Linked DNA regions of Oryctolagus cuniculus. The protein of the gene in region 2 interacts with the protein of the main gene of each other region in a biochemical or structural test. Links are inferred from orthologs where the notes say so. Each region holds a gene or a part of one and is shown on either strand. Other genes may lie near its edges. The genes, in order: CREB1 and PRKACA.

Evidence for each region.
Region 1: the proteins of PRKACA (region 2) and CREB1 form a complex in vitro, tested with the Homo sapiens proteins (2 studies listed by BioGRID, with this or other methods). The link is inferred for Oryctolagus cuniculus from reciprocal best matches to the Homo sapiens genes PRKACA and CREB1.

The regions. Positions count from the first base shown.
Region 1 is NC_091434.1:32,228,843-32,244,064, forward strand, and holds part of CREB1 (cyclic AMP-responsive element-binding protein 1), read right to left. Parts: intron 13,427-15,222; 5' UTR 13,419-13,426; coding exon 13,305-13,418; intron 7,966-13,304; coding exon 7,819-7,965; intron 7,094-7,818; coding exon 7,052-7,093; intron 4,271-7,051; exon of another isoform or gene 4,205-4,270; intron 1-4,204.
Region 2 is NC_091447.1:62,977,087-62,992,750, reverse strand, and holds the start of PRKACA (cAMP-dependent protein kinase catalytic subunit alpha), read left to right. Parts: upstream 1-8,345; 5' UTR 8,346-8,486; coding exon 8,487-8,508; intron 8,509-11,920; coding exon 11,921-11,982; intron 11,983-12,311; coding exon 12,312-12,440; intron 12,441-15,664. Other genes in the region: histone chaperone ASF1B, read left to right, coding at 1,336-1,451, 2,448-2,624, 3,021-3,227.

The DNA.
Region 1 (15,222 bases), on a different chromosome or scaffold from region 2:
AGGCTGAAAAATAATGAGGTGAATAAAGATTTTGCATGGAATGTTAATACTAGAAACTAGAATTCATCACTAACTTACTATGTGCCAGGTGTTACATGCTAAAGCACTTACATATATTTAACACTCATTAATACTTACAGTAACATAGGGGCCAGATGGGCATTCCTATTATATCCATTTTATATATAGAAAAACTAAGTAAGGCACCAGGGGATTAAGTAACTGTTACAAACCACAAAGCTAAGAAGTAATAGAGCCATGAACAATATTTAGCATTTCCATTTTACACATCCTTATCAGCTTCAAAATCCTGGTAGTTCCAGTCTCAAATACCAGTTTTGACAGAAGCAGGAACCAGATGGCATTTTAAGACCATTTCTGGACCAAGAAATTACTAACCTAAGTATGCTTGCCTGTCAAATTTATTCTGCCAGGTTCCTCTAGTCTAATCAGCAGGAGCCTCATGCTCTTTCCTGATGTAGGTACACACGATGCTGTCAGAGACTTAGATCTAATCAAGGCAAAAAGATCTCTCTGTGTTAGCTACACATGAAATGTATGGAAATAGCAGTAAGAAAAATCATATTTACAAGTAGCTGAGAAATCCCAAAGGTGTTCTTTACGTGGTATGAACCTAAAGGTTCTAGAAGAGTGGGCACTGATAGGGCTTTATGATATGCATGCTCATTTTAAAACAAAAATCCAGTAATGGTTCATAAAATATATCTAAAGTAATGTGCCCCATCCAAATTTAAGTATAAACAGTCTTATAAATCTAAAAACCAACAGGCAATATTTAATGAATCTAACAATAACAGATCAAATGGTGGGCAAGGCTGAATTTCATGCAGGATTCTTGGCAGAGTAACAATGTAGTTATGGTCAAAGGAGCAGACAGAAAATTTTCCTGTTAAGCAATAGCTGCTTTAACTAGCCAATCCAACACAGTCTCTGAAAACCATGAACTATGACCACAAACTATGGGGCCAGTGCTGTGAGGCCTGAGAGGCCGTGATAACAGATCAAATAACTGGGTGTCTAACACCCATGTGGGAGACCTGGACTGAATTCCTGGTCCTTGTCATTGAGGGCATTTGGGGAGTGAACCAGCTGATGGGAGGAGCTTGATCTCTTCTGCCTCTCAAAGATAAAATAAATACAAAATTTTGTGAAGAATTATCAAGAGTTTACATCCCAATTATAACTATCACAGATTACCATCACATTCCAACGACAGAACCCTTTCTTCCTCATCTTCTCTAAGTTCTTAAGTTCTTTACATAGGTCTTTAGTTTCAGACATTTATAAGTAAGTCATAAAAGCTTTCAAGAAGCCAAAGTTACAACTTCTAAAGTTTTCTATCTGTATTTCTCAACTTTGGTTTGTTTAAAACCCACATCTTCTGATATATGGGGGAAAAAAACTCGGTTTTAATTATTTGGAATTTCAAAATAAACTACATAGTGATTAGAACTAAATCAAAGTAACAGTAATAATAGGTGATTTCTTTTTCTTAAGATTTATTTTTATTTATTTGAAAGCAAAGTTACAGAGAGAGAGGTCGAGAAGACAGAGACAGAGGTCTTCTATCTGCTGGTTCACTCCCCAAATGGCCCCAATGGCCATCTGAAGCCAGGAGCTTCTTCTAGGTGTCCTATGTGGGTGCAAGAGCCCAAAGACTTGGGCCATCCTCCACTGTTTTCCCAGGTGCATTAGCAGGGAGCTGGATTGGAAGTGGAGCAGCCAGGACTCAAATCAGTACCCATATGGGATGCCAGCACTGCAGGCCAGGGCTTTAACCCACTGTGTCACAGTGCCAGACCCTATTACATGTTTTCTAGAACTGTACAAGGTTCCCTAGAAACTTAAGTACTTTCTGGGTAGAGGGGAGCCATGGTTTAGGTTCAGTTTTTTACTCACTGGATCAAGAAGCTTAGTGAAAGTCTAAAACAGTGATCCTTTAAACTCTTTTGATCTGCAGATCTCTCCTTATAAATAAGAAAAACTTACCTAAGTATACACATCTTATTTGCAAACATTAAGAAGTGTGTTACTTATATTATAAAAGAATTCTTAAGATAAGTATAAATATTAAAAATTTCTAAGCTGCATAGATTAAATTTTCTAATAGACTGTGACTTAATATACTTTATTAAGTCATTTAATACTTTATATAACAGTGATTTAGAAATATGATTCTAAATTAAAATGTTATCTTTTTTTTTTTTTTTTTGACAGGAAGAGTGAACAGTGAGAGAGACAGAGAGAAAGGTCTTCCTTTTCCACTGGTTCACCCCCCAGTGGCCACTGCGGCCGGCGCGCTGTGGCTAGTGCACCGCGCTGATCCGCAGCCAGGAGCCAGGCGCTTCTCCTGGTCTCCCATGCGGGTGCAGGGTCCAAGGATTTGGGCCATCCTCCACAGCACTCCCGGGCCACAGCAGAGGGGCAGCCAGGACAGAATCTGGCGCTCCGACTGGGACTAGAACCTGGGGTGCCAGCACCGCAGGCAGAGGATTAGCCTATTGAGCCTCGGTGCCAGCCCAAAATGTAATCTTAACATCTGTTTGTTTCAAAAAAAAAGGAACTCATAACTCATGATATGTAGATAGCAAAGGTAAATGCATTAGGCTGTGCTTACCAAGCAAAATAACAATTTTTCATTTTAATTTACCACTTCTGACTAGCTCTCTCTAGTATATTTTCATCTCCTTGACTCCACATCATTAACTGCATTCTAATAGGAAGGTGTTAAATTTAACTTTTTTTTTTTTTTTTTATTTTTGACAGGCAGAGTGGACAGTGAGAGAGAGAGACAGAGAGAAAGGTCTTCCATTGCCGTTGGTTCACCCTCCAATGGCCGCCGCGGCCGGCGCGCTGCGGCCGGCGCACCGCGCTGATCCGATGGCAGGAGCCAGGAGCCAGGTGCTTTTCCTGGTCTCCCATGGGGTGCAGGGCCCAAGCACCTGGGCCATCCTCCACTGCACTCCCTGGCCACAGCAGAGGGCTGGCCTGGAAGAGGGGCAACCGGGACAGAATCCGGCGCCCCGACCGGGACTAGAACCCGGTGTGCCGGCGCCGCAAGGCGGAGGATTAGCCTAGTGAGCCGCGGCGCCGGCCAAATTTAACATTTTTAACAAACAAACTTAACATTTTACTAAAACTCTGGAAGACTTCTGAGCAGTTTAGAATCCTGTTTCTAGGGTCTTGAAAGTCAGTAGACTTGAGGGCTTTTACATTTTATTATCTATTTGAGAGGCAGAGAAATAGAAAGTGCCCATCTGCTGTTTTACTCCTCAAATGCCCATACAGTGAGGCTGAGGCAAGAAACCAGGAACACAATGCAGGTCTCTGATGTGGGTGGCAGAAATCCAATTAGTCAAGGCACACCACTGCCTTGGGTCTACAATGGCAGAAGGATGGAGTCAGGAAATGGAGCCAAGAATAGAACCGAGGACTCACATGCAGGATGTGGGCATCTTAATGGCTGGGCTAAATGCCAGCTCCTGAATTGAGTTTTTAGAGAAAACAAATTTACACTGTTTATGATTGAAAAAAAAAAAAAGGATCTCTTCAGAGCACAAGTTTCTTTCACAAAGCAGTTATTCTGTCAGTCATGGTAAAATGTCCCCCCCCCCCACCCCCAAGAAAGGGCTGTTCAAATGGTTTTCTTTTTTCAAAAGTACCTGTTAGGTAAAATATCCCTTGTGAGTCCTTGCTTGCCATTAGTAAAAGGAAAATTTTTGAACACTTGTCTTAAGAAAACTCAAATAACTCATCTTTTTGTTAGACAATTCTTAAAAACTTGCTATGTGATAATCACTGAACCTCTAATGTTGCACAAGATTTTTACTGTTGCTCCTATAATAAAATATTGTAAAATTCTATCAAAAATAGTACTTGCAATGACTCTCTTCCTTTCTTACTCTAGTCCAGCATAGTCTTCTTGCTATTCCTTGACATCCCAAGCATATTCACTTCCAAACCCTTGATTTTTTTATTATTATCTGCATGATTTAGGCTACTTCACTGTCCTCTGGTCTTTGCTCATCTCTGATCACCTTCCATAAAACACGCCCTTCCCTCCATAACATTCTCTATTTCTTTTCCCTGCTTTATTCTTCTAACACTTATCTTCGACTCATATATCTTTCCAGAGTTTCTTTTTTCACTCAAACATGATCTTCATTAGAATGAACGGTATTACCTGTTCGTTACTGTCTTTCACAACTACTAGAACAGTGACTGGCACTTAGCATACGATCACCAACATCTGTTGAAAGAATGGATGTAATAAAATCCATAAATCCTCTGTCCAGCACATTTAAACTGCACTATATGGAAATGTGGCCAAAACTAATGAATGAAAAGGGAAGAAGCCACTGTGAATTTCATTACATCATACAATTCACACTATTTCTGTGAGGATGCTCACAAATTATGTGAGATTTGATTCACATACATGTACTTACATACATAATGTATATGAAATCTCAATATAGCTAAATCTAATATTTTTAAATTAAAATATATAACAGAAGTCCTAATATCTTATTCTCTTATCAAGAGAAATGTACCTTGCATATTTTTGGAAACTTTGTTCTGGAAAACTAACATTCTCTCATCTAGAAGTTTGAGTGACCATCCCTGATATAAACTACTTCCTAGTTAACAGTAATCACTTTCAATCAGTTATAATGAACACAGAAGTTTAATAAATTCTCCTTGGTTTAGAAGCTTTAAAGAATAAAAAGAGGGGCTGTCACTGTGTTGCAGAAGGTTGAGCCATTGCTTGAGATACCAACATCCTATACAGGAGCACTTGTCCAAATCCTGGTTACTCTTGTCTCCAAAGTAGCTCCCTGCTCCTGTGCTTAAGAAAGCAGCAGATCATGGCCCATGGGCCCTTGCCAACCATGCAAGAGAACAGGACAGAATTCTGGGCATTTGCCTTGGTTGCAGCCATTTCAGGAATGACCCAGTGGATAGAAGATCTCTCCTTCTCTCTTAGTCTCTGCCTCTCCCTCTGTCATTCTGCCTTTCAAATAAATAAATCTTAAAAAAATAGTATATCTGTAAAATCCAGGCTTTAAGAAGCCCAACTTTTCTTTTGCAAGCACACACACTTTAAATTAAATAGTTCACTTTAATGGAAATATGTATTGTTGTAAAGATGAATCCATATTTCTAGAAAGTTAATGATTATATAATCCCTAGGTCCACATTAGGCTGCCCCTATAAAGATTAAAATAAAGAATACAATCAACAGTTAAATATCACATAATATAACCAAAAATTACAATCTTAGACTGGGTCTGGCGTGTAGGTTGCCTGACTAGTAAGCCTAATTCTTTCCATTATTATCTATAGGAGGATATGGGTGGGGAATTAGCATAGCACAATATGGAGAATTAGATAAGGTAGCATTCAATGAAATAAAAACTGAGAAAAAGAAATACTGCTCAGTCACTGTGATTCCACAGAAATATCAACTTCATAGTTCTTCACTTGGTCAACACTGTATCCTACTTGTTAAAAAATTCCAACCCCAATATCTTATGGAAATTCATACATGATTCAAGATTTCACATGAAAACATTATTTCTTTTTCCCACTTAAGCAAACCAAAAGCATAAGAACAGAATGAAATATAGGTGGTAACAGCTGCTCAATGATTCAATAGTATAAAATGATTGACAAAACCTAGTATTTTTTTTTTTTTTTTGACAGGCAGAGTGGACAGTGAGAGAGAGACAGAGAGAAAGGTCTTCCTTTTGCCGTTGGTTCACCCTCCAATGGCCACCGCGGCCAGCGCGCTGCGGCTGGCGCACCGCGCTGAGCCGATGGCAGGAGCCAGGAGCCAGGAGCTTTTTCCTGGTCTCCCATGGGGTGCAGGGCCCAAGCACTTGGACCATCCTCCACTGCACTCCCTGGCCACAGCAGAGAGCTGGCCTGGAAGAGGGGCAACCGGGACAGAATCCGGCGCCCTAACTGGGACTAGAACCCGGTGTGCCGGCGCCGCTAGGCGGAGGATTAGCCTAGTGAGCCGCGGCGCCGGCCAAAACCTAGTATGTTTTTGATGATATTAACAGGATGCTTCCAGGACAAAGTAGGCACTCCTGCCCCTCTATGAATATTAATCAGTTCTGGCTACCATATGCACAGAAAACAAAACTGCTCTCATCCAGAAGAAAACAACCAGGATGCTGAAGAGAAATCAAAACTACACCATGTAATAAATGGCTGAAGAAAAATATGAGTTTGTTAAGTTGAAGTTTTCTTTTTAAAAAAAGTTTATTGAAAGTAAAGAGAGAGCAAGAACGAGGGAGACAGAGAAGGAGAGACAGAGAGATCTATTTGCTGGTTCAGCAAATGCCTGCAATAGCCAGCCTTGGGACAGGCTGAAGCCAGAAGCTTGCAATTTCCATCTGGGTCTCTCATGGGAGGCAGGGACTCAAGTACTCAAGCTGTCTCTCACAGTGTGCTTTAGCAGGATGCTGGACTGGAAGTGGAGCAGCCAGGACTTGATACCAGGCACTCCAAAATGGATGCAAGTGTCCCAAGGGGCAGCTTTACCTGTTGTGCCAGATGACCACCCCTGGCAATTTCTTAAAAATATAGTTTCTGAGAGATGTGACTGAGGAAATCAGTCAACAGAAAAAGAATTAAGATTTGCCATTCAGTTCAACGCAAGGATAAAACTGCAAGCACTAGGCAAGTTGTATAAAGCTATATTCTTTCACGACTGAAAAGAGTATTTTGGCAATTTCATCCTTAATTATAGGTAGGTTACTCAGGATATAGAACTTCCTTTCTCTGAGAGTATTCAAGTAAAGTTGGGCTATCGTTTGGAAGACAGGAAAAATATTATATACAGAAATTTTTATTTCTAAGGGTCAGGTAGGCAACAAGTTTGGTCTAGACCTAGAAATGTCTACCATTAAACAAAACCTTCAAATTCCATTATTTATAGAGGAGGAAAAAAACAAAAATAATAATTTCTCACCTTCCTTTCTAATAATAGTTCTCTTCAAATCTACGACCTAGGACTCACCTGTGTTCCGGAGAAAAGTCTTTTTAAGTCCTTACAGGAAGACTGTGAAGTAAAAAATATGAAATGGGAGGCTGGGGTTATGGCCTACTTGAATGAATGTTCAAGTCTTTCTTTCAATAAGCTCAATCGCAAGATCTACACCGCTTCTTGGTTCCCTACAGTTAAGTAGTGCAGTCACCTTCAGTGGTCTACAGTGCCTTTACTAATCTTTGGAATCCAACCCAAAGGAACAATATCCTCAAAGAATAAGACATTCATAGTATAATCCCTGACCCTTAAGATAAACTTTCTGAACACATTATTTCAAAATTATATGCTCTCATGGTAAACCCTAAACACAGCCCATTTTATGAATGCTTATGTGATCCCTTCAAGTTCAAAAATCTCAGGTAAGGTTATTAAATTTTGATCAAGGTTTATTTTTCTCCAACTGCAGGTTCAGAAAATAATTACAAGTTATTACTTCTGTATTTCAATTTTCCCTGAGGCAATCAGCCTTATACAGTCTCCCAAATCTTCCACTTCATCTCATGTACTTTTTTTGCCAATTATTCTCCTTCTATGACTTAATTTTCTTTCATGTCTGTTTTATACATATCCATTCCTTTACACAAGGTGACTATACAGACGCAGCCCATTTGTTTACCATATGAAGTAAAATTAACTCCAAACTAGATGTGTCCTTATTTTCAAAAGTAATGAAAGGAGAGGGATATGCCTATGAATAATAGACACAAAAGTGGATACAGAACTTTTTATACACATACCTGAACTGTTTGGACTTGTGGAGACTGAATAACTGATGGCTGGGCCGCCTGAATAACTCCATGGACTTGAACTGTCTGCCCATTGGGCAGTTGTACTAATGTTACAGTGGGAGCAGATGATGTTGCATGAGCTGCTGGCATAGATACCTATAATGTTGAACATGGAAAAAAATTACTATCACAGATACCTCCTTGGGACTACTCATGTTCAATATGAAGTAACATTTTAGAGGCAAAAATACTGATAGGAAATAAACTAAACATGCAATTTATCATTGTTTAAAAACAAAACCTGTAAGTCTCCCATTCTACTTTTCAACTCCTCCCAAATGACAAAAAAGTTATTGTAATGTAATGTAATGTAATATAATGTAATGTCAAAACATGTAACACAGATTTCCTCTTAATACTAAGCACCGGTTTATTTGTATAGTGCTTTAGATTTTCCCAACTGCTTTAATATCCCCATTTCTCTTGTTGTTCATCAAAGAAATTGAAGACTGGGTAATAAGGATTATCCCCATTTTAAAGACAAAAAATAACTGCTCAAAGAGATTAAGTAATGTACCCAAAGTCAAGCAGATACACTAGCCTTGAAGAAACAGTCTGTGGTATATGTGTTAAATAGCTATGTTCTAAATTCTAATTGTTTTCAAGCTTGGACAAATTAATGTAAAGTAAGTCCAGAACAAATATACATCTTACAATATGGCATAGCTTTCATTAGTGAGAACATAGTAACAAGTTTTATAAACTGTAAATCTCTATTCCTCTCCTCCTCAAAATCAACTATTACTGAACTGGTAATAGTTGATAGTTCAAGAATTTGTTTTTGTCTTGAATAAAGGGGCAAAGTTGAAAGAATATTCATATAAGAAAAAATAATTTTCTCCTGAGGCACAAGGAAGGCAATTTAATGAGTCAATATCCAATCTGAAGTGACCCTTAAGTCTTAAGTATCTATTAGATGGTATTTATTGTTCCTATGATTGAACACATTCGGGCGAGGAATTTTACCTGTTCATTCAGTATACAGTTACTGGGGATCTACATGTCAGGAACAATGTTCAATCTCAAACTATAAAAAAAGGATAAGATATGGGTCCTTGATCTCAAGGAAATGATTAGGGGTTGTGTGTGAAAGAATGGGAGAAACAGAAGTAAACACAATCAAGTGAAATAATGAGGTTTACAAGAGGAACATAGACACATTGAAGAGAGCTACCCAAACTAAGGACAGGAGGCTACTAGGCAAGAATGTGAATTTGAAACAAAGAACACAAGTCAGACATATTATTATGACTTCTAGGAGAGAGTCAGAACTTCAGGTAGAGAAGGTAACACTAACCAAAGCAAAGAGAAACAGCAGGAGCTATACATGACAGAGAAGAATAACCAGCAATTCAGTACTACTGGAGCACTTAAGTATGGTTACTATTTAATGTAGGAAGGAGGGAGAGAGAAAACAAGAGGCAGGAAGAGGCTGGATGAACTAGTTGTAAACAAACAAACGAAAACAACCCTGTAAATCACATTAAGGAATCTGCATTTTGGGGTTATTCAGAAAGTCACTGAAGGGCTTTTGAATTCCTCTCATTATGTTTGCATTTTAGATCACTTTAGTGGCAGAGTGAAATAACTAGAGGTTGGAAGGCTAAGCAGTCGTTAGGGTGAGTTGATAGGAACCAGAAATAAGGTGGTGGTGGTGGTAGTAACAGTCCTCGGCATTGTAGCAGGGAAGGGAATAAGAGAAGCAGAAGTAATTTTATGAAAATTTGCAGGCAGATCAAGAGGGGTTTTATGAATGGAGATGAAAGAGCAATCAAAGATGACTCATATGTTTTATGTTTCTAAGAAAATTGGTAGACTGTGTCATCAACTGAAACAGAGAATGTAAGGACAAGATTTTGGGTGGCTGGAGTTGTGGTAGAAGATGATGAAACTGACCTGACATCTGGGTATGCAGATGGTTAGCAGGAACTTAAAACATGTGACTCTGAATCTTGGAGGAAGATCCCTACTGTAGATACAGTCTTTGGCACATAAGTTGTTGAACCATGGAGTTTTCATCTTTGGACAATTAGGATGTCCTCATTAATTACTTTTTTTTCAGCTACTTTAAGTCTTGCTTAGTTTTAAGCTGGTTCTCAAAATGTGATCCATGGACTACCTGTATTAGAGTCACATGGGGTGCCTTGTTTGTAATATTAGATGATAAGAAGGACCCAAGGATACTTTCCTTGAGACTAAAATTTGAGAACCACAACCTTAAAGTTATTCAAGGAAAGGGTGAGGGAGGAAAATATGAGTATATATAAAAAAGCTTTTCTAATATTTGAAGCAATTATTATGTCCTCTTTTCTGAGTCTTCTCTAAGGTAAAAATAATAGGCTAACTAGGTAAATAATCCCTTTTCTAGGCTGATCATTCAACATAAAGGTTCTTCTTGGTGTAAGTTTATAACATACATTTACCCAAAAATAAAATAAAAATCCATTGTATTCCTACCATCCAGAGTTAATCACGTTAATGTTTTTGCTCTGGCTCTTGTAGGTGTTTTGTTTTTTAAGACACTTACACACAATCAATTTTTACAACACATTATCATTAAATCTATTTTATTTCTCAATTCCATTATATCTTTCCATACTATAAACAGTCTTCTTTAATATTTTAATGGCTACATAATAGGCAAAATTACATATTTCATAAATTCCTTATCATTGGATATTTAGGTTTCTAAATTTGCCTGTTACAAGAACACTACAACAAACATTCTTTAACCCAACTTTTTGCTTAAAACTGTAAAAACTTATATTCCTGTAGTCAAATCCAAAATTTTTCAATTTTAAAAACTTTCCTTAAATTCCAAAGCTAAAATAAGGTATCTCTCATTACTGTTTTAGATTGACCCTCTTCCTTTACCATTTAGGCTGAATTTGCTTTTTATCGAAGCACAATGATCTTAGGGTTATCTGACAACTTCATTCTACTTTCCAAGTACAAAAAAGTAGTAAGAATTATAAAAGGTAATTATGTCAAAAATAGATGTATGTGTTAAGGAACTTTGATGAGCAAATGAAAAAAAAAAAAACCCATTAACTGGGAATAAAAGGAATTAAAAACATATAAATGGAAACAGACACTAGCTTCCCTAAAACTCAAATCTGATACTGTCACTCCATTTTTAAGTGTTGGTGCTAAAGGGCTGCCTGATAAAGATGATAAACTGAACTTGTGTACACAGAATTTTTCTCCCACCTGAATTGCCAGTTAACTTCCTGAAATTGATTTCACTTTTATAGACATAAAAACACAAACACAGAATGGGAAGGAGATAAAGTAATAGTTTTGGAGGAGGACAGATGAATGGTAATGAACTGGGAAGACCTCAGAAGGCCAATTTATGAGCTGGGATGGAGGCAGAGAAAGCCTGATTTGTACCACAAAATCCTCAAGAAGTTCACAATCTATAGCACTTCAAGCAAAGAGAGGCCGACAATAAAGATGGCTTGTTGAAGGCTCTCTGAGAAGCAACTGGATGCCCTCCCCAAGGAGAATAATACCCAGCCATGAAAGAAAAAACCAGAAATTTATTATCTGGACAGCGGTCTCCAATTGATTAACAATAGCAGAAATCCCAGCCCCCTTCTTTTACTTGGCTCCCAAGCCTGTATCCTATAAGCACAAAATTTCTGACACCTTCTCTGGGGGTAACCGACACCAATAGTAAAAACCTAAAGGATACTGACATCAGGATCACCACAATCACCCTACAGCAAAGCTCATACTGCTAACTCTTCAACACCCACAGAGCTTCCATACAGCTTTCTGGTCCCATACTCTTGAACCTGACCTGAGCAAAACAGCCACAAATGATGAAACATTTGAGGAAAGCATCTAATATGAAAGATGGAGACCAAAACAAAGGGTGGGAAAATCTATGTGGGGAAAAGAAAACTTAAAATGAAACAAAATAATATTCTCAGAGATAGAAAATATTGCCTTTGTGATGCTAATGAAACATTATGCTAATGAAACATAAAAGAATTATTCAGAGAACAAGAGACTCCTGGAAATAGAACATCAGAAATTAAGTATTCAACATTGGAATGCATTGAGGAAATCTCTCAGAAAGCAGAGTAACAAGATGGAAAACAGGAGAAAAAAGGAAAGAAAATTAAGAGAAACAGTCCTAGAAATATAGTATCTGGATGACAAAAATTCTAGGGAGAAATGAGAAAGAAGAGAGGGAAAATTTTAATCAAATAATTGACAGAAATTGTCCAAAATTGAAGACATGAGTTTCCACTATAAAACGGCCCACATGGACCAAAATGTTTGCAAACTAAAACCCATAATAAAATTTTGAAGTACCTTGAACAGATTTTGTAAGATAACTAAAGATACAAAATGAAAAATTAATTTAGCTTTTCAAATAAGAACAAAAAATCGTCGTCACTGGACTTCTTTAAAAATTAAAAAAATATTTTTTTTAACAAGAATTCTTTTCATAGTCAAACCTTTAAGAAACGACTGAAAAATACGCTTTGAATATATCAAGAACACTAACTCCACCAGAGAGACAGCAGGGTAAAAGGAGTTCCCAGGCTGACACTACACAGACAGCCAGACCAGACAGACCAGCATGATCCAAGACAGGTATATCTGGACTGTCACCACCAAGATGCCTGCTGGTAGTGTATTTTCTTTGTTGAGCCCTCTGTTACCAAGTTTCATTATTGATTAGTAACTCTCTTGGGAGTCTTTAAATGCTTGTGGAAATGGAAGTTAGACACAGAGCTTCTGCTAGGATTATCTTCTCCTGGGAGCCTTCAACTAAAAGAGGCAATATCATACTTTTACCTAAAAGGTTGAAGTTTGCTATTTCATTTTTATACTATCACCTTTCTCACTGAAATATATGAAAATAGTTAATATTTGAGGAAAAATATATGAACAAAAAAGAGAGAGTGTATGTTATTAAAACAGGGTGTTAAGGCCAAAGACAAAATGAAAGAATCAGGAATTAGATTTAAAATATACAGGACACAAAAATTATCATCATTAAGATTTATTATATATCAATGTATTTGCTTATCCTATTTTTTCAGTTTAAGAATATAAGCTTTCATATTATCTTTATCTCTGTGCCCCAAAATAAATCTATATGATATTACAAAAAAAAGCAGTTGTCATAGCCAAGGTTTTATTTCCTTATTTATGAGAGCCAATTAACTTAGCCATTAATTAAAGATGTCATTCTTTCAGGATCATGGAACTATAAATACTGTATTAGTGTTTAACACCACATTTTACTGTTATGTTACTGAATTAATACTAGTATTTCTAAACATAGACTAATGCTAAGTAAATAAGAATTTTGATATTCTAAGAACACCTCTGCTCATTCTATGTATATCTCTGTAATAAGAACTAAATTCTCTTGGAAGAGACGACTTGGAATCTCTCTATGTATTTTATACCTGGGCTAATGTGGCAATCTGTGGCTGGGCTTGAACTGTCATTTGTTGGTTTTCAGCTTCTGTTACAGCTGCATCTCCACTCTGCTGGTTCTCTGCTCCAGATTCCATGGTCATTTAGTTACCTACAATAATACGGAAGAGTGTTACGAGCACTACAGTGCTTTGTGCTTTTGTGACTTTAAAGGCAAACTTCAGGTTACAAATACGTATATATGGTAGTTACGTTGGCGAATGCACTTAGAAATCTAGTTAAAATATATTGTAGCTAAATTACTGTCAAACTTGTCCAAAATGACTGAGCTGCAAGAGTTGTAGTCCCTTTAAAAAACGAATAAAACCTTTCTTTTCCCTTGGCTGGTAATTCCCAATAGGATATTGCCGCATCTGGAAAAAATAAGAATGGATTCCTCTCTTCCATGAATCTCCCCTTCTAACAGGGAGAGAAGGTGTGGCAGAAAAATTGTCTCTTCCAACGGTAGCAATCAAGTACAGAGAAAAGGCAGAGAAAAGAAATGAACTGATGGTAAGAGTCTATGAGAAGCTGGCTTCATGGTACCATCTCTAAAGGTATTTCCTACTCTAAGAAGAAGCAGAGAAATTGTAAACTAATTCCACAGATGAGTGGTGGTAGGTCAAAATTAACACAAGTTTTAGAGTCTAAGTTGTGGGATATCAAGGTAGGAAAGTGAATAAATGGGCCAGAGTCAAATTTCAGGCACCGAACACAAAAAAATTATGATATAGGGTACAACACTACATTACATACATACAAACACACATAGAAAAATATCCCCCCATTTTTTTAGCTCTATAAAATTCTGGATAAGCTAATAAAGACTGATCTCTCTTGGGCCTTGCTTTACTAAGAGAATATTGTATTAGTTGGGTAGTCTGGAACTGGATGGCAGCAAAAGTTAATTGGAGAGCAATTCTTAGTAGCAGTAGTAATGTGGAGATTAGAGAAATGTCTGATAACCGGGAAGCATACCAGTATACCACTGTTAGTGCCTAGCATGCTACCTGTTAAAACGGAAACTTTTTTATTTACTTTAAGGATTTATTTGAAAGGCAAGAGTTACAGAGAGGGAGAGAAAGACAGAGACTGAGACATCTCCCACCTACTAGTTCACTCCCAAAATGGCCGTGACAGCCAAGGCTGGGCTGATTGGAAGCCAGGAGCTTCTTCCTGGTCTTCCACATGGGTACAGGGGCCCAAGCACTTGGGCCATCCACTGCTGCTTTTCCAGGCCATCAGCAGGGAGCTGGATTAGCCAGGACTCAAACTGGCATGGATATAGGAAGCTTAACCTACTATGCCACAGCACTGGCCCCAACTGAATTTATTAATAGTGAGGGAATGCTTAGGTGAGTCCATGAATAACAAAACCCCAAAGTTTTTCCAGAATATATTACATTTTTAGAATTCTGAAAATTGATAGTCAAAATTAATCCTAATCCTTACATGATTACTGCATAGTATCATAATGTATTACATATTAATACACCTGACTGTCATTCCCAAGGTTCTACAAAACATAGCGCTTTACATGTGGCAGTTAAAAATGGAAGTGAAAATATCTCTATGGAAATGAATATAGCTTAGAAATATCAGAAAACCATTAAACACAGATGACAAAGGAAGAAGACGACGACTTGACTACATTATTATTTAAAACAATCATAAAGCCAGCAATACAAGTGCACTGGGAAAAGTATCTACCACAATCAGCACAGTAACATCCAAAATACACTACTACTAGTCAGCAAGAAACAATTATTAGAGACTAGTTCACAAAGATATAGTTCCAGGGTATTCACTGCAGAAATTTTTTTTAACAGCAGGAAATGAGAAGCAAGCATCCATTATTAGTGGGACCATTAAAAACATTACAGTCTTGACAAAGAATGAAATCTATGT
Region 2 (15,664 bases):
TCTTTCTGTATTTGAAAGGCAGAGTTGGAGCGAGTGAGCCGCTGGGTCACTCCCCTGATGGCTGCAGCGGCAGGAACTGGACTCGACGGAAGCCAAGAGCCTGGAGCTCCACCCAGGTCTCCCATGCGGGTGGCAGGTTTAGGTTGTGCCGCTAAACGTTGACATCTGCGGGACAATGTTTCAGACCCCCCTGCACCTTACACCTTAATCAAACACGTGCTTGGTGACTCTGCTGGTTGTGAGAGAGTGCCTGGAACGAGATGTTCCAACAGTGAGCCATTCTAGAAAGTGGGAGTAGGGGCTGCTATCCCGTGCAGCAGTTATGATGGCCCGTGGGCCACCTGCTTCCTGTCCGGGTTCCAGCTTCCTGGGTGATGGCAGAGGGACCGGCAGTGGGTGTTGCCCAGGAAGGGCCCCTGGCTTGGCGTGTGCGTCCGAGGCTGGATGCTCTGGTGTGACGGCCGGACCAAGGGCCCGGGCAGCTTCCAAGCAAGTTGACTTCCTGTGAAAATCACAGCTTGTGAAACCCCCTCCCTCCCCCAGCTGTCCGGGGCTTGCAGGCGTTGTGTAATTTCAAAGAAGCTAAAATAAGTCCGCGGTCTCCTGCCAAGCTGCCCTGTACCAGCGTGACCTTGCCCCTGGTACACTTGGCCCTCCTGCAACAGGCAGTGGTCACCAGGAGCTTCCTGTGACGGATGGGCAGGGCCTCCTTCGCTCGTGTGCCTTTAAGGGGGGGGCGAGGGGACTGGGGGCAGCGCCCCCTCCCAGCCCTGGCTGCGATGCCAAGTGTGCGTGCTGAGCCCCCGGCCTGTGCGAGCTGGGGACCGCCCGGCTCCCCCCTCGCGCTGCCTGGCTCTCTCCCGGGTGGATCAGAATCTGCTGCCCCGCGCCAGTTGTCGAGGGAATCTCCTCCCGTTCCCTGGCACGGGGCCGTGTGTGTGAAAGAGGATGCTGCTCTGAGCCCAGCACCCAGTGGGCAGGGCCCCGAGATGACCCAAGCGCCTGCCGCTCCTTCCCTGGCCCTGCCGGGGCACGTGGTTCTTAATTCAGCCTCTGCCATGCAGGTCAGTGCCACACCGGCTCCCAGTGGCCCACGGTGTCTCCCGCAGTCCAAAGGCAAGGTTGCTGGGCAGAACTAGGCCTGCAGGGGCCACGTCCCCAGCACTAGGGCCTGTGCACTGCCTGTCCCCTGTGGCCCGGGTGCACCCGATCGCAGACTCTTCCGGCGTGTGGCAGCCGTGTCCAAATCCTCATGACAAGGCTCCTTCCGGTGCCTGGCGGCCAACGGCCCCAATTCGTTAACCTGCTGGCCCCCCGCCCCCCGTGTCCTTGCAGACCTGGAGTGGAAGATCATTTACGTGGGCTCAGCCGAGAGCGAGGAGTTCGATCAGATCTTAGACTCGGTGCTGGTGGGCCCCGTGCCTGCAGGGAGGCACATGTTTGTCTTCCAGGTAAGAAATAAGACACCTGAGCCCCTGACTCCCCGGCGCAGCCTCCCGGACCCCCAAAACCCAAGGCCGGCCCGGCCGGCAGAAGTTCAGGTTCCAATCCTTGCTCGGCCCTCAGGAGTTGTCCGCCTGCGGCTCGGAGGCCTTCGGCCCCCGTCCCCCCCAACCCCCAATTTTTGGAGACGCACGTGCAGTTTGTTCACAGCACAGGTTCCCCTTGAGCTCGTGGGGAGCTCCCTTGCACACTCCCTACACACGCGCGCCCTCGGGGAGCCCCACGTGGCTGCAGACCGGCGGGTTCACACTCGCTCGCTGGTCTCAGAGCCCCGGAGCCAGCGGCAGCTGCAGGAGTCGGGCCGTCCCATACGTGTTTGCTCCTGAAGGCCTCTGGTGCCCTCGGGCAATTGAAAACAGTGAACTGACCCTCGGACACAGAGCATGGAGCTCGCGGCCTGGGTGGACACGAGTGCCTGGGGCTGGGAGGCAGCGGCCAGGGCTCAGGGGCTTGCGTGCCGCCACCCACCTGGGAGACCCGGATGGAGCTGCCAACCAGCAGATGGGACCTCTCTCTGTCCCTCAACAGCTTTTTCTTAATTTTCATTCGTTTATTTCTTTATTTATTTTTGCTCTTTTACAAATTGTAGATTTCTAGACTTGGCAGGTGGGTCAGAACGCCAGAGCTTGAGCTTCTCGACTCGCTCCCCTCCAGCCCTGCCGTCACGGCACATCTGGGCCTCTCACCCACCCACAGCAGCAGATCCACCCGCGAGCCCAGTCTGTCTACACTGAGATGGCCGGGGCCGGGGCCAGGTACTCTGCGCTCGTCAGCGCCTGATGCTCGGTGGTGTTTGATCAAGGGGGCCTCACGCCACTCCCGGCATTCTGGCTCTGGCCGGCTCTCCCAGGATGACTTCCGGTGCCTCCTGCCTGAGCCCTTCCCGGCCCAGTGGCCGGCAGAGAAGGCGGAAGCCCAGGACGTGTCTCCCCTCCCCCACCCAGGCCGATGCCCCCAACCCATCCCTCATCCCAGAGAGCGATGCCGTGGGCGTGACCGTGGTCCTCATCACCTGCACCTACCACAGACAGGAGTTCATCCGCGTGGGCTACTACGTCAACAACGAGTATCCCAGCCCCGAGCTGCGGGAGAACCCGCCCCTGAAGCCAGACTTCTCCCAGGTATGGCTGCCTCTCTGCCTCCTGCAGCGGGTGGGGCAGGGCGGGGCGGGCCCTGCCCCGTGGGCCTGTAGCACGGTCACCGTGGCAAGATTTCCCCAGCACGGCTCGGTTCTGGCGGTGCCGGCCTGGTACAGGAAAGGCGCGGTGAGCCGGCCCCAGGGCGAGGGCTGGCCGCAGCAGTTAAGACCCCACTCGAGAGCCCTGCATCAAATGTCGCAGACGCCACCTCCATGGGAGCCCCAGGTTGAGCTCCTGACTCCCCAGGCCCAGGCTATCGTGGACTTTTGGGGAGGGAACCCGCGGACGGGAGCGCTGTGGCTCTCGCACGTCCTTGGTGGCCATCGCACAAGCGGGGGTGACCAGGACGAGGGATGACGGTGCCTCTTCCCGCCGCAGCTCCAGCGGAACATCCTCACTTCCAACCCCCGAGTCACCCGCTTCCACATCAACTGGGACAGCCACACGGACAGACTGGAGGCCGCGGAGAGCCAGGACCCTGCCCTGGGCTGCGGCCTCCCCTTCAGCTGCACCCCTGTGAAGGGCATGGGGCTCCCGGGCTGCATCCCTGCCCTGCTTCCCGAGAACTCCATGGACTGCATCTAAGTGGGGGAGCCCGGCGCTGGCCGGCCCCACCTGGGACCCGGCACCGGCACCGGCACCGTGGATCACCTCGCTCTGCAGGCCCCGAGCGGCAGCAGGGACTCCCGCCTGCACGTGCCTGCTCGCGCCGTGCCTGCCCAAGGCCGTCACCCCGGCCTCCTGCTGTCCCTTGTCCCCTTTCTGTTGTCTCCTGGGTGCTGCCAGGCGGGAGATGGCGGGGTGTGGGGGCGCCCAGCCACATGAGGGCCCTTCCGCCCCGGGCTGCCTGCACCTGGCTCTCACGGGCCACAGGGACTTGGGGCCAAAGGAGCACTGGAGACCCCAGAGAGCGCCCCTCCCCCCTCTGCTGCTGTGCCTGCTGCCGTGTGTATTTAAGGGGGTTTATATTAAAGATGTTCGCTGGTTTGCAAATAAAAAGCACTTGGTGGAGACTTCACCCCCTGCTCTTGTCCTCGCTGGCCCTGTGTCCCTGCGGGGCTGCAGGTGGGGCCCCACCTGATGCCAGGAGAGGGAGAGGTGTCAGGGCGCCAGTCAGCCCCCCAAGCTGGTCCGCTGGGAGAACTCAGTATGATCCCGGCGCACACACAGAAACACTCAGAAGCTGTCCTCAGCCTTACTGGATGACCCCACAGCCAGAGGGGGTGGCTCGAGCGGCCGGCCACGTCCCCAGGGTTCGCAGGAGAGCGGGGACCTCGCCACGCGGAGCAGCAGGTGGGCGCGCAGCCCTTCCCGGCCGGGGTCTTCCTCTGTCCACCTTCGTCCAGGACAGTCTAGCCACTCTGATGCTGGTGTGGATGGCCACGGCTAGCAGCAGGAAGCAGAGCAGCTGGGGGCTTCCGGGGAGGGGGACTGCGGAACACACCCTCCGGCCCAGCCCCAGATGTCAGATGCTGGGGCGGGGGCGCCGCCCCTCGGTCCTCAGGCCGCTCCTGGCAGACAGGTGCCCGCTCCCCGCACAGACAGGACAGTCAGCGCCGGTGCCCCCAGACTCCGCGTCCGTACCAGGGGCGTGATCGCGGGACCTACGAGGTGAGGGGCGCGCTGCGAAGCAGTGTCTGTGCCAGCTCCTCACCGCGGGTGCCAGCCCACGGCCGGGCCCACGGCCGGGACCCAGTAAAGGCGCAGCAACCCCCTGCTCCCGGGCCCAGCATCCGCGGGAAACCCAAGCAGAGCCCCGGTCCCGACCCCTGCCGCCCCAAACGCCAGGCCTTATGAATGACGACTCGGCGACCTCTGACCCCGCGGCGCTGGCCGCGCCCCTCCCCCCGCTGGCAGGTGGACAGCGGCTGCGCCGGGCGGGCCGTGGCGTCCACCTCGGCTGGCCGGCGGCCGCTGCCGCACTGGGCGGGGGCGGGGGACTGCGGCGCGCGCGGGGCCGGGCGGGCGCCGGCCGGGGCCGCCTCCAGGGCCTCGGAGCGCGGCGCGGCCGCCCGCCAGCCTCCGCCGCCCCGCCCGGCCCGGGCCGGCCGCAGACTGCGCCTCCGCCCCGCCCTCTCACCCCGGGATTGACACTGAACGTTCTGCGAAGGGTCTGCCGAACAGGGCGCCTCGACCAATCGGCGGCCTCGTGGGGCCGGCCCCAGGCGCCTCGGCCAATCGGGCGCGTCCTCCCGCCCAGCTGCGGCCTTGCGAGCGCGTGAGTGGCGGGCCGATGGCCGCGCGCGTCACGGGGCCAGGAGCCTATGGTGGTGCGGAAAGGTTTCTCGGGGCCAATGAGCGGCGGCGCGGCGCCGTCAGTCATGGCGGCTTAGGCCAATGAGCGGCAGGCTGCGGGGGCGTCACGGACAGCAGCAGCGGACTTGGGCTGAGGTTCCCGGGCGGGCGGGCGCGGAGAGACGCGGGAAGCAGGGGCTGGGCGGGGGTCGCGGCGCCGCAGCAAGCGCAGCCAGCCCGAGGGGCCGCCGCCGCCGCCGCCCAGCGCGCTCCGGGGCCCCTGGTCGCCGCCAGCACCCGCAGCACCGCAGCTCCGGGACCGGCCCGGGCCGCCGCAGCCGCCGCCGCGATGGGCAACGCCGCCGCCGCCAAGAAGGGCAGCGAGCAAGAGAGTGGTGAGTGCCCAGGCCGTGACCCCGATCTCGGCCCCGCGCTGCCAGCCCCCCGGGCTGTCCATCACCGCCTGGCCCCTCCCCCCCGCGGCGCCCCCCCATCTCTCTCTGCTTACCCCCAGCACCCCTTGCTGTCTGCTTGTCCAAGGCTGGGGCCCGAGGGCCCGCAGAGGACCCCCCACAACCCACACACACACACACACACACGCATTCACGTAGGGGCCCTTTGGCCAGTGACCGCCCCCCACTGCGAAGATATGCCCCCCCACCCACCCAGCTGTCACTGCCAACCATGGCACGGATGACCGCTGGGGCCCCACATGGGGCCCTGTCACCTCCCCACCCCTTCCTTTCCTGGCCCCAGTCCCCAGATTCGAATCCCCTCCACTTGCTCACTCACCTCTCCCACGTGTGGGACCCAGGCCTCTCCCAGCCTCCCAGTGCTGTCGGGGGTAGGGGGGGCTCTGCCTCCAGCCGCCAGGGACCTTGGCCTCTTGCTGGCCACACCCCTCCCCCCTCCCGCCCCGGCCATCTTTCTCCTGCCCTTAACCCTCTTCACCTTATCACAGCCCCTCCCCAGCCACCACCTGCAACTTCCAAACCCACCCCACCCTGTGTTGTTTTCCCTGTTCAGTGTCCCTAGGCTTGGGGGACACAGGGGTCCCTCTGCGCCTCTCTCATCCTGCCACTGTTCTTGGGACCCCTCCTGCAAGCTGGCTCGCTGGCGACCTGGCTGGGGGAGTGGACTGTCTGCAAGTTTGAGCTGAGATTCCACTGCCGCTCTGTCTTTTCGGTTGTTGGGGTCGGGGGCGGCGCGTGGTAGAGCCCCTCCCCTCTCTTGCTGTGTGTTGAGCCCTGGGCTCCTTGGAAGGCCCCCCCCACCACTGAGGCTCCCCACCTCCCCCAACGAGGGGGGCTCCTTTGCCTGCTTCTGGCTTCCGATAAAAAGCATCCGGGTTCCATGCGGCTGCTTGGTCTCGGTGGCGTGGGTCAGGGACAGGATTTGGACGGGGTGGGCGGCTGTCCGAGAGAGCAGTGGGTGACATCGAGGGATTCGCTTTGCCAAAGGATGGATTCTCATCGTTGCCGGGGCTTTAGCCAGAGAGAGAGAGAAGCCCATTACACACACACACACACCTCGCCCGGGCCCCCAGATTAAGTTGGCCCCTTCCAGTCTGACAGAGAAGGTGCCTCTGTCTGGAAATGCCTTCAGAAGTGGTCTGGAGCCCCCTGCCCAATCCCGCACCCCCAGCTCCCGAATCTGGGGCACTCCAGGCTCAGAGTGGAACCTCAGCCGGGATATCCCACACATAGGCAGAACTACAAATGCGGAGGCCGCGTCCCCAGCCCTGCCCACCCCAGTTCTTGATCTCAAGCCCTGGGCTTCCCAGGGTCCCCTGCAAGTGGCGAACGTAGCCCTGAGAACTTTCTCCCCTCCCTGCTTCAGTTGGCAGAATTAAGTAGCTCCTGGACGTGCCACCGAGGGGCGGGGGACAGGGAGGCCAGCGCCTGTGGCTGAGCGCTTGATGACCCAGGAGCAGGTGGGGTAGTATCCAAAAACAGTTCCGAGCCCACGCTCGGAGGGGACTGGGGCCCGGAGGAGAGGGGCCGGCCCCCAGCAGGTGAGGCGGAAGGTGGAGGCACGCGGCTATATATTGCTGTGGCTCGGTGGAAAGCTCGGGAGATGACATAGCCCTGGAAAACCTTCAAGGCGTAGCTAACACGTGCACTAGGGCCCCAGGGAGAGGGGCGGGGGAAGCTGCACGGGGCCAGGGTTGGGTGGGTGGGTGGGGAGATCCCAAGAAAAAAAGTTCACAGTTCTGGAAGGAACAGGTAATTCCTTCTGAGTGCAGAAATGGATGATCCCAGAGCTGCTGTTTGTAGGGGATCCAGAATGTCCCCCTGCCAAGTAGGTCTCCGTGGACACATCTGTCTGCGCTGGTGATTTCTGTAAGGGGCTCTTATCGGCGCTCTCCAAGTAAGCTGTCTCTGAGTGGGACACAGGCGGAGGCAGGATTCCGATCCAGACCCGTCCCTGGCCGCCGGGAGCTGGGAGCTGAGAGCCTCCCAGCTCGGACATTCTTGAAGCTGCCTCTCGGGCTCCTGCTCTCTCTCGGCCTGTGTTTTCTTAATTAAAGTAATGGAGGTTGAATTCCCCATGTCCGTTCAGGGGGGAGCAGTCCTAGGAATGCAACCCAGCGCTAGGCTGCGCCCCTCTGTCATCGCTGGTCCGCATTAAGATGCAGGGTGGATACAACGTAACTAGCTAAGGGACTGGGAACTCGATCCTTGCTCTGCTGATGGGAAGGTGCCCTCCTGAGGCTGGGAGAGAAGGAGCCAGGCTGGGAAAAGGAAGCCCCTCTCTGCCTCACAGCCCTTGAAAGGATGGAGTCCGAGGGCAATTACCCTCTTAGACCAGGGTGGGCCGGGGGCCAGGGCAGTAGCCAGCCCAGCCTGCAGGGGGCACCTGCATTTCATGTTGCCAGATCCCAGCCTGCGGGGGACTGGCCAAGCATCCTAAAGCCCAGGAGCTGGGGTGGGGTGGAGATGGGAAGATTGGCACCCAAAGGTGGCAAAGCCACCGACAAGGGGCTTAGTGGGGGTTGGCGAGGAGCTAAAAGAGCAAAGGGAAAAAAAATGAAGGCTCATGGCCAGGCTGGAGGAACCGAGAGAGGGCAGTGGCCCCAGGGGGCCCCAGGGGGCAGACAGCCAAGTGGAGCTCAGGTCTGAGCTGGCACTGGCTGGAGACACCCCCACCCCCACCCCGGGGAGCCGGGTCACAGGGACATGGCCCGAGTGGTGGGAGGGAGCCCCCCAGAGGCCCCTTGGTGGGGACACCAAGCCCCAGAGACAAGCCCACCCAGGTGCGTCCTGCAGGTTCCTGGGTGGGATGAACTGGTGTCTTCCGACTTCCTACAGAAGCCCAAGAGGGTCAAACGCCTCTGCCCATTGGCAGTTGTATGGGTGCCCGAGAGGGTCCTGCCAAGACAGCTTTGCTCTTAGCCCAAGGCAGCCAGCAGCAGCTTGGGAGGTCCCAGCCAGCTCTCCCCTGCACCTGCCCTCCTCTCACCGGCCTTCCCGTCCCCATTCCCGCCCCCCAACTCCCCGGCTCCCCCTGCAGGCCGGGCCGTGGGGTGGGCCGCCAGGCTGGGGCGGCGAGGTCTCGTGAGCCTTCCCAGCCACCGTAGCTCGGATGCCCTGTGAGGAAGACTGAGTGATGGCTTCCAACTCCAGTGATGGTGAGGCTGAGCCCTGTTGCTATAGCAACTCCCTGGGCACTCTCTGCCCCTCAAGTCAGGGAGGGGGCTGCAGCAGGGTTTGGGGGCGCAGGAAGGGAGGAGGAGGCTGTGGGGGGCCTGGGGACGAGGAAGACAGATAGGGGGGAGCCGGGGGTGTGCGCCCAGCGATGGGAGGGGAGTGCAGCCCAGTGTGGGGGATCCAGGCCAGGCCAGAGTACTGGCCCCCGCCCAGGCTGGGCAGTTCCACCCCAGGACCGCCAGGTTTCAGAGTGCCTAGAGGGTCTCGGGTTATTGTCCGGGAATGGGGAGTCCAGGGAGCCCCCCCCAGCCCCTTGCCCAGCTGGACACACAACCCTTGCAACCCTACATCCGCAGGATGGAGTTCTAGATTTCGGCCGTGGCTTTGTCAGGGGTCCTCTGGGGTTGTCCCTGGGACCCCAAATCAAAACCCGGCGGGATTGGGACGTCTGGTGCCATGGCCCTCTAGGAGCTAGGTGACAGAGTGGGGGAAGCGGGGGGACTTCCTGTCACCAGCAGGGTGCCCCCACCAACTCCGGGTGTTGGGTGCTCTGGGAGAGGCTGCCGCTGCCCCTCCTTCCGCTTCTCTCCGGGATCTGGGAAGAAGGAGGGAGATGGCCAAGCGGCCTCCCCCTCCCCCGCTCCCCCGGGTTGAGCCGTCCGTTTCCGGTTTGGACTTTTCATGGCCCAGAGCGGAGCCAAGCACACAGGGCAAGGTTTGACAGAGGCCAAGGGCATGCAGGATGTCGATCCCCTCCCCGCCCCCACATGGGAGCGGGACAGGGAGCCACACGCACCCGTTTCTGTCTCAGGGGTGGCAGGATTGGGTGGGGGAGCCCCGGGGTGTCTGGTCTCCCTGGCCCTCCACGCCCTCCCTACCCCCTCCCCGCCCAGCCTTTCCCTCCAGCTGTTCTTCCAGCTAATTAACAGGGCGCTCCTCAGCCCCCTGGGGCCCTCTGGCTGCTGCCTGGGCCTTAACTCCTTCACCTCTGCGCAGTGGGCACTGCCCCAGGCCCCGGGGGGACGGGGAGGGGGCAGCCAGGCACCCAGTGAGGAAGGCAGGGCCTGACAGCCAGAGTCAAGTCCCTGGAAGGGGAAGTTGGCCTTGGCGCCCCGCCCCCGGGCAGAGGGACACCCCCGGGAGTCCGCGCCTCCGCCTCCTGCCAGGGAAAGCCTCTGTGGACCCTGGCAGCCAGGAGCAGGTGCAGGCACCTTTTTAACTGCTTCCGTGGCAACCGGCTCCTCCTCCCTTCCCCCCTACCCCCCGGGGGGCTGGGCGGCTCCTGTGCTGGGTGAGGAGAGAGCCCAGGCCAGCGGGATGCTGGGATGGAGCCGGGGTCCTGCCGGAGCCAGGGTGCGGACTCGGAGACCACTTTCCAGCTGTGGCTCCAGCTGCTCCTCTGGGCCCACCTGGCCGCCCGGCTCCTGAGCTACCTGCGCCACACCTTCCAGCGAGCCTGACCTGAGCCCCCCAGCCCAGACCACCCAACCCCACCCACTCCCCCGGTTCTCCCCTCTGCTGGAAGACACAAGAAGCAGAGGTGAGTGGTGGGGGTGGGGTGGGGGCGGGGTCTGCAGGCTGAGGTCCCCTCCCCCAGTACCGCCCTTAGCTGCCTGCCCCCAGCCCCAGCAGAGGGGACGTGACCTGGGCTCCTCGTGCACCTTGGGAGGCCAGCGGAGGGCTGTGCTAGGGACTCTGCCCCACCCGGGGAGGGGGCTCAGTGGGCGCCAATGAAGAAGGAAACAGGACCAGGCCCCCCGCTGCCTTCCTGTGTGGGTCAGGGCCCCGCCCCTCCCCCCGCCACCCAATCCAGAGTTCTGTGGGAGGAAAGGTGCCTGTGTGGGTGGGTGTGTGTGCACATGTGGGAGCAAACCGTCTCCAGTAGACCCCATGCCCAGAGCGGTCTCTCGGCCAGCTGGTGGCCCAGCCAGGCGCCAGCTTGGGACGGCTGTCCCCTCTGGGCCCAGCTCTGCCAGCAGCCTTGGGGACAGTGGGGGCGTGGTGCCAGTGACGGGCAGGAGCACGGTGGGGCAGGGGGTGGGGGCCGTGTGTGCTCCGCGTGGCTGTTTTCATCGAAGCATCTGGGGCCTGGGGACAGTTCTGTCCTGGTCCACCCCAGTGCACGTGACCAGCGGTGAAGCCGATGGCCGGGACGGCAGTAAAAACGGCTCACGTCATAGCAGTGGGGGAGGGCTTGCAGGCAAATGATCAGTCTTCCGATCTGTACAATGGCTGGGATGGAGCCTGCCGGGCTGGGGCTGACGCTTAGAAAACACCACGTGCAGGGCGGGCTTGGCGCCTGTAGGGTGTTGTTCGGGGGTGCGTGTGTCTTGTCCATGTTCATCCAACTGCCTGGTTAAGCTCTGGACACCTACCGCCGAGTCTGCTGTCTCAACCGAAAAGAATGCTGCAAAAAAATTAATAGGGAACATTTGTGTCCCACGCCAGCCACCGTCCAACCCCCCTTTGCCAAAGTGAGCTCCTGCCATCCACACAGCTTCGCTGCCTGTATGGTTAGGTCGCTGTCATTATCATCCCCATTGTATAGATGAGGAAAACTGAGGCCCCCTCCCCCAACAGAGGCGCGGTCAGTTGTGCCCAGTGCGTCAGAGAGCACGGGCTGGGATTTGAACTCCCGGAATCCTGGCCCTCAGCTGATTGGCTGGGCTGTCTCTTCGCATGGGCCAGAAAAAAAAAAAATGGTTTTGGAGCCTCAGTTTCGGGGCTGGTGAATGGGTAGCACGGCCAAGAGGAAGGTGGTGAGCCAGACTGGTGAGAGCCCACCACCTCCCCCAGCCCCCAGCCCGGGGTCAGCCAGGGAAGTCTCTGTCAACTGGAAGGTGACATTGGCCTTGAGATGCCCTGGGGCCCGTGGAGGGATAGGCCCCAGCCAAGGCTGTCCTCAAACCAGCTCCAGAGCGGACAGGGCCAGCTGGGGGCCAGGGCGACAGCTGAGCCCCCCCAAGGCCGCCTGCTACCCGAGCCCCGGAGGCCTCCGCCCCAGGCCCAGCCTCCCCAGAGAAGGGAACGGCCAGATCCCGACGCTATAAATACCACAGCTGGCGTCGGCCCTGGGCGAGGAATGCCGGGCAGAACTGGGGCGAGTGGGGGTGGGCGGGCCTGGGTGCCCCGGGCCGCGACCCCCACCCCTCGCGAGCCTCCCTGTACCCCACCTTGGCGGGCGCCGAAGCCAGATCCCCCACCCTTGACCAAGACCCCAGCCCGGATCAAGCCGCCCGAGCCAAGCCAGCAGCACCCAGAGGCACCCGGCAAAGGGCGGGCGATGCGTGGAGGCAGCCGCACCCTGCTCCCCGCCAGTGGGCGTGTCCCCGGGCAAGACGTGGGGGGCCGTGGGTCTCCCGTCTGACCCTCCATCCTCTCTCTTCCTTTCAGTCAAAGAGTTCTTAGCCAAAGCCAAAGAAGATTTTCTTAAAAAATGGGAAAATCCTGCTCAGGTAAGCCCACCTCCACCCCTCGCCCCCAAACCCCGCTGTGGGGGGAGGCAGGGACCCAAGCTGCCTCCCCCTCCCCCTCTGCTCCCCCTACTGCCTGGACACCCCCCGGGGGGCTCCCGGGAGGGGGCTGAGGCACCTGACTGTCCACGCCTGGCCTCCCCACGCGGCCCCTGCCCTCCCCACACAGCTGCCACCAGTTCCTGGGCCCCAGGCCAGGGCCGGATCTGGGCCCGGCCGGCCGCCTGGAGGAACTCGCCCTCCATCCTCCGCCCCCCGCCCTGCCCGGGGTGGGTGCCCCTGACCAGCCCGCAACCCCCTGCCGCCCCCAGAATACAGCGCAGTTGGATCAGTTTGAGCGCATCAAGACCCTCGGCACGGGCTCCTTCGGGCGGGTGATGCTTGTCAAGCACAAAGAGACCGGCAACCACTATGCCATGAAGATCCTCGACAAACAGAAGGTGATGCAGCCACGGGCCCCGCCCCGCCCAAATGTTCCAGAAAGTTCTGGAAAGTTCCACGAGGAAACAAAACCACTTGAGTACCACGCTGGGCCCCCAGAGCATGCCGGGAGGGTGATGGGTGTTGGATGCTGCGGCATCCCCAGGACGGGGTGGGCGGGTGCACTGTGCCAATGTGGCACCTTGTACCGAAGGGACACGGGCAGCTGGGCATTTGGGGGCCCACAGGCCAAGCCCATGGGAATATCATGGGGCAACTCGGTACCCTGAGCCCCCAGACCCCAGCGCTGGAAGGGCCCTGAGTGGCCTCCACAAGGCTTCTGCCCACAGGCCACACCCAGATGGGAAACGAAGGCACTCGATGGCCCGTGGGGAGGAACCCGGAGGTCTCCCTGGAGGAAGTGGCGTCTAGGTGGACGTTCTGTCCCCAAATTTGTTATTGAGTGATTTATTTGAGAGGCAGAGAGCAGGGAGGGAGAACTCCTGTACTCTGGTTCGCTACACACACACCCCCATACACCCCCAAACACCCAAAAAAGTCTCGGTGGCCAGGGCCGAAGCTGAGAGCCCAGAGCTCCATGCAGATCTCCGACATCAGGCGGCAGGGACCCAAGGACTTGAGCCAGCGCCGCCGTTCCCTGGGTGCACATTAGCAGTCGGGAGCAGAGCCGGGACTGGAACCCAGGCCCTCCAGCGTGGAATACGGGTGTTCCACCCAGCGGCCCCGCTGCTAGGCCAAATGCTCGCCCGAGGTCAGTGTCTACCAGGAACGGGCCCCAAGCCCCAGAAGGGAGTGCGAATTTCCCAGTAGCCCCATCAGAAACACCAAGAGGAGCCGGTGTCGTGGCGCATAGTGGGTGAAGCCGCCACCGGGTAGGATGCTGGTGTCCCGTGGGAGTGCCGAGTCCCGGCTGCAGTGCCCCTGGGAAGGCAGCGGGAGACGGCCCCAGGGCCTGGACCTGTGCCACCCAAGTTCCTGGCTTCCCCTGGCCCAGCCCTGGCCGCTGTGGTCATTCGGAGACTGAACCGGTGGATGGGAAGATCTCTCTCCCTGTCTCTTGTCTCGTTATATATTGCTCTTTAAAAGAAAGAAAAGAAAAAGAAAAGATAGATTTTTTTGAGAGAGAGGGACCAGCGCTGTAGCATAGTGTAGTGGATACAGCCGCTGCCTGCAGTGCCAGCCTCCCATATGGGCGCTGGTTCAAGTCCCGGCTGCTCCACTTCCCATCCAGCTCTCTGCTGTGGCCTGGGAAAGCAGTGGAAGATGGCCCAAGTCCTTGGGCCCCTGCACCCGTGTGGGAGACCTGGAAGAAGCTCCTGGCTCCTGGCTTCAGCCTGACCCAGCTTCGGCCGTTGTGGCCATTTAGGGAGTGAACCAGCAAATGGGAGACTTTTCTGTCAGTCTGTCTCTTCTGTGTAATTCTGCTTTTCAAATAGAATAAACGTTACCCAAAAAAGTACAAGGAAACAGATGAAGTTCATCTCAATGTGTTTTCCTTAAGCCAGAGGCAGCCTCTTTTTTTCCCTTCAGATTAATTATTTGAAAGGTAGAGTGACAAGAGAATCTTCCATCCACTGGTTCACTCCCCAAATGGCGGCAACACCTGGGGTTGTGCCAGGCCAAAGCCAGGAGCCAGGAGCTCCATCCGGGTCTCCCACGTGGGTGCGGGGGCCCAAGATCTTGGGCCATCTTCTACTGCTTTCCCAGGCCACAGCAGAGAGCTGGATCAGAAGAGGAGCAGCCGGGACTGGAACCGGCACCCATATGGGATGCTGGCACTGCAGGCGGTGGCTTTACCCACTAGGCCACAGCGCCGGGCCCATGTTCCATTCTTTTTTTTTCTCTCTGTACAATTTCAGTGTCTGTTTCCACTTCAGACAGTTTTCCCCGGGAAGAGGAAACACAGTAGAGAAATAGAACAAGCACATTCACATGGCCAAGTTTTTCCAAACACTGAGAGCTTAGCCAGTCCCCACAGCAAGTGTCAGCGTTCAGATCTATCTTTCTTTCTTTCTTTCTTTCTCTCTCTCTCTCTCTCTCTCTCTCTCTCTCTTTCTTTCTTTCTTTCTTTCTTTTTTTAAGATTTAATGGGGCTGCCATTTTGGCACAGCAGGTAAAGCCGCCACCTGTGACACCAGCATCCCATAGGGCCGCTGGTTCAAGTCCCCGCTGCTGCTCTTCCAATCCAGCTCTCTGCTGTGGCCTGGGACAGCAGTGGAGGATGGCCCAAGTGTTTGGGCCCCTGCACCCACGTAGGAGACCTGGAAGAAGCTCCTGGCTCCTGGCTTTGGCCTGGCACAACCCCAGGCGTTGCTGCCATTTGAGGAATGAACCAGCGGATGGAGGTCTTTGTCTTTCCCTGTCTCTATAGCTCTGCCTGTTAAATAAATGGATTTTTGAAAAAGAAATTTTATTTGAAAGCTAGAGTGTCAGAGATAGGGAGATCGCTCATTCCCCAAATGGCTGCAATGGCCCGGGCTGGGCCAGGCCAATCGCCAGGAGCCAGGAACCCCCATCTGGGTCTCCCACATGGGTGCAGGGGCCCAAGCCCTTGGCCCATCTTCCACTGCTTTCCCAGGCGCATTAGCAGAGAGCTGGATCGGAAGTGGAGCAGCCAGGACTCGAACCGATGCCCATATGGGATGCTGGCCCCAATACTGACAATTTTAAATTCGGTTCGCCAGCCCACTGGCCACACATCCAGGGCCCTCACAGTGCAGGCCTCAAGGGTCCAGCTGCCTGAGTCGAGGCAGGAAACACCCCGGCTGGGTGCTTCACAGCTAACCGGGGACCTAGGCCACCTGTGTGGGGCGCACTGGCCTGGCGCTAGCCGGCTGTGTGACCTTGGGCACGTCCCCTCCCCTCTGTGCCTGCACTTCCAGACCGGCGTGCTCCCAGCATGCCCCTCTCAGGGCTCCTGTCACCACTGAACCAGAGAGCCCGGGTGAGGCTCCGGCTCTGGCTCCTGGCCCGCGCTGTGCGGGGAGAGCCTGAGGCCTGGGCACTGTGTGTCGCTGGGCTAGATAAGGGGAAGGCAGCGTCTCCTCCTTTCTCTCTTTTTAAATCTTTGCTTGAAAAGCAGAGAAAGAGCTCCTGTGCCCACCATGGCCCCGCCTTCGGGCTGGAAGCCAGGAGCTGGGAGCCAGGAGCTCCATCCAGGTCTCCCACGTGGGCGGCAGGGGCCCAAGCACGTGGGCCATCTTCCACGGCTTTCCCAGGGAGC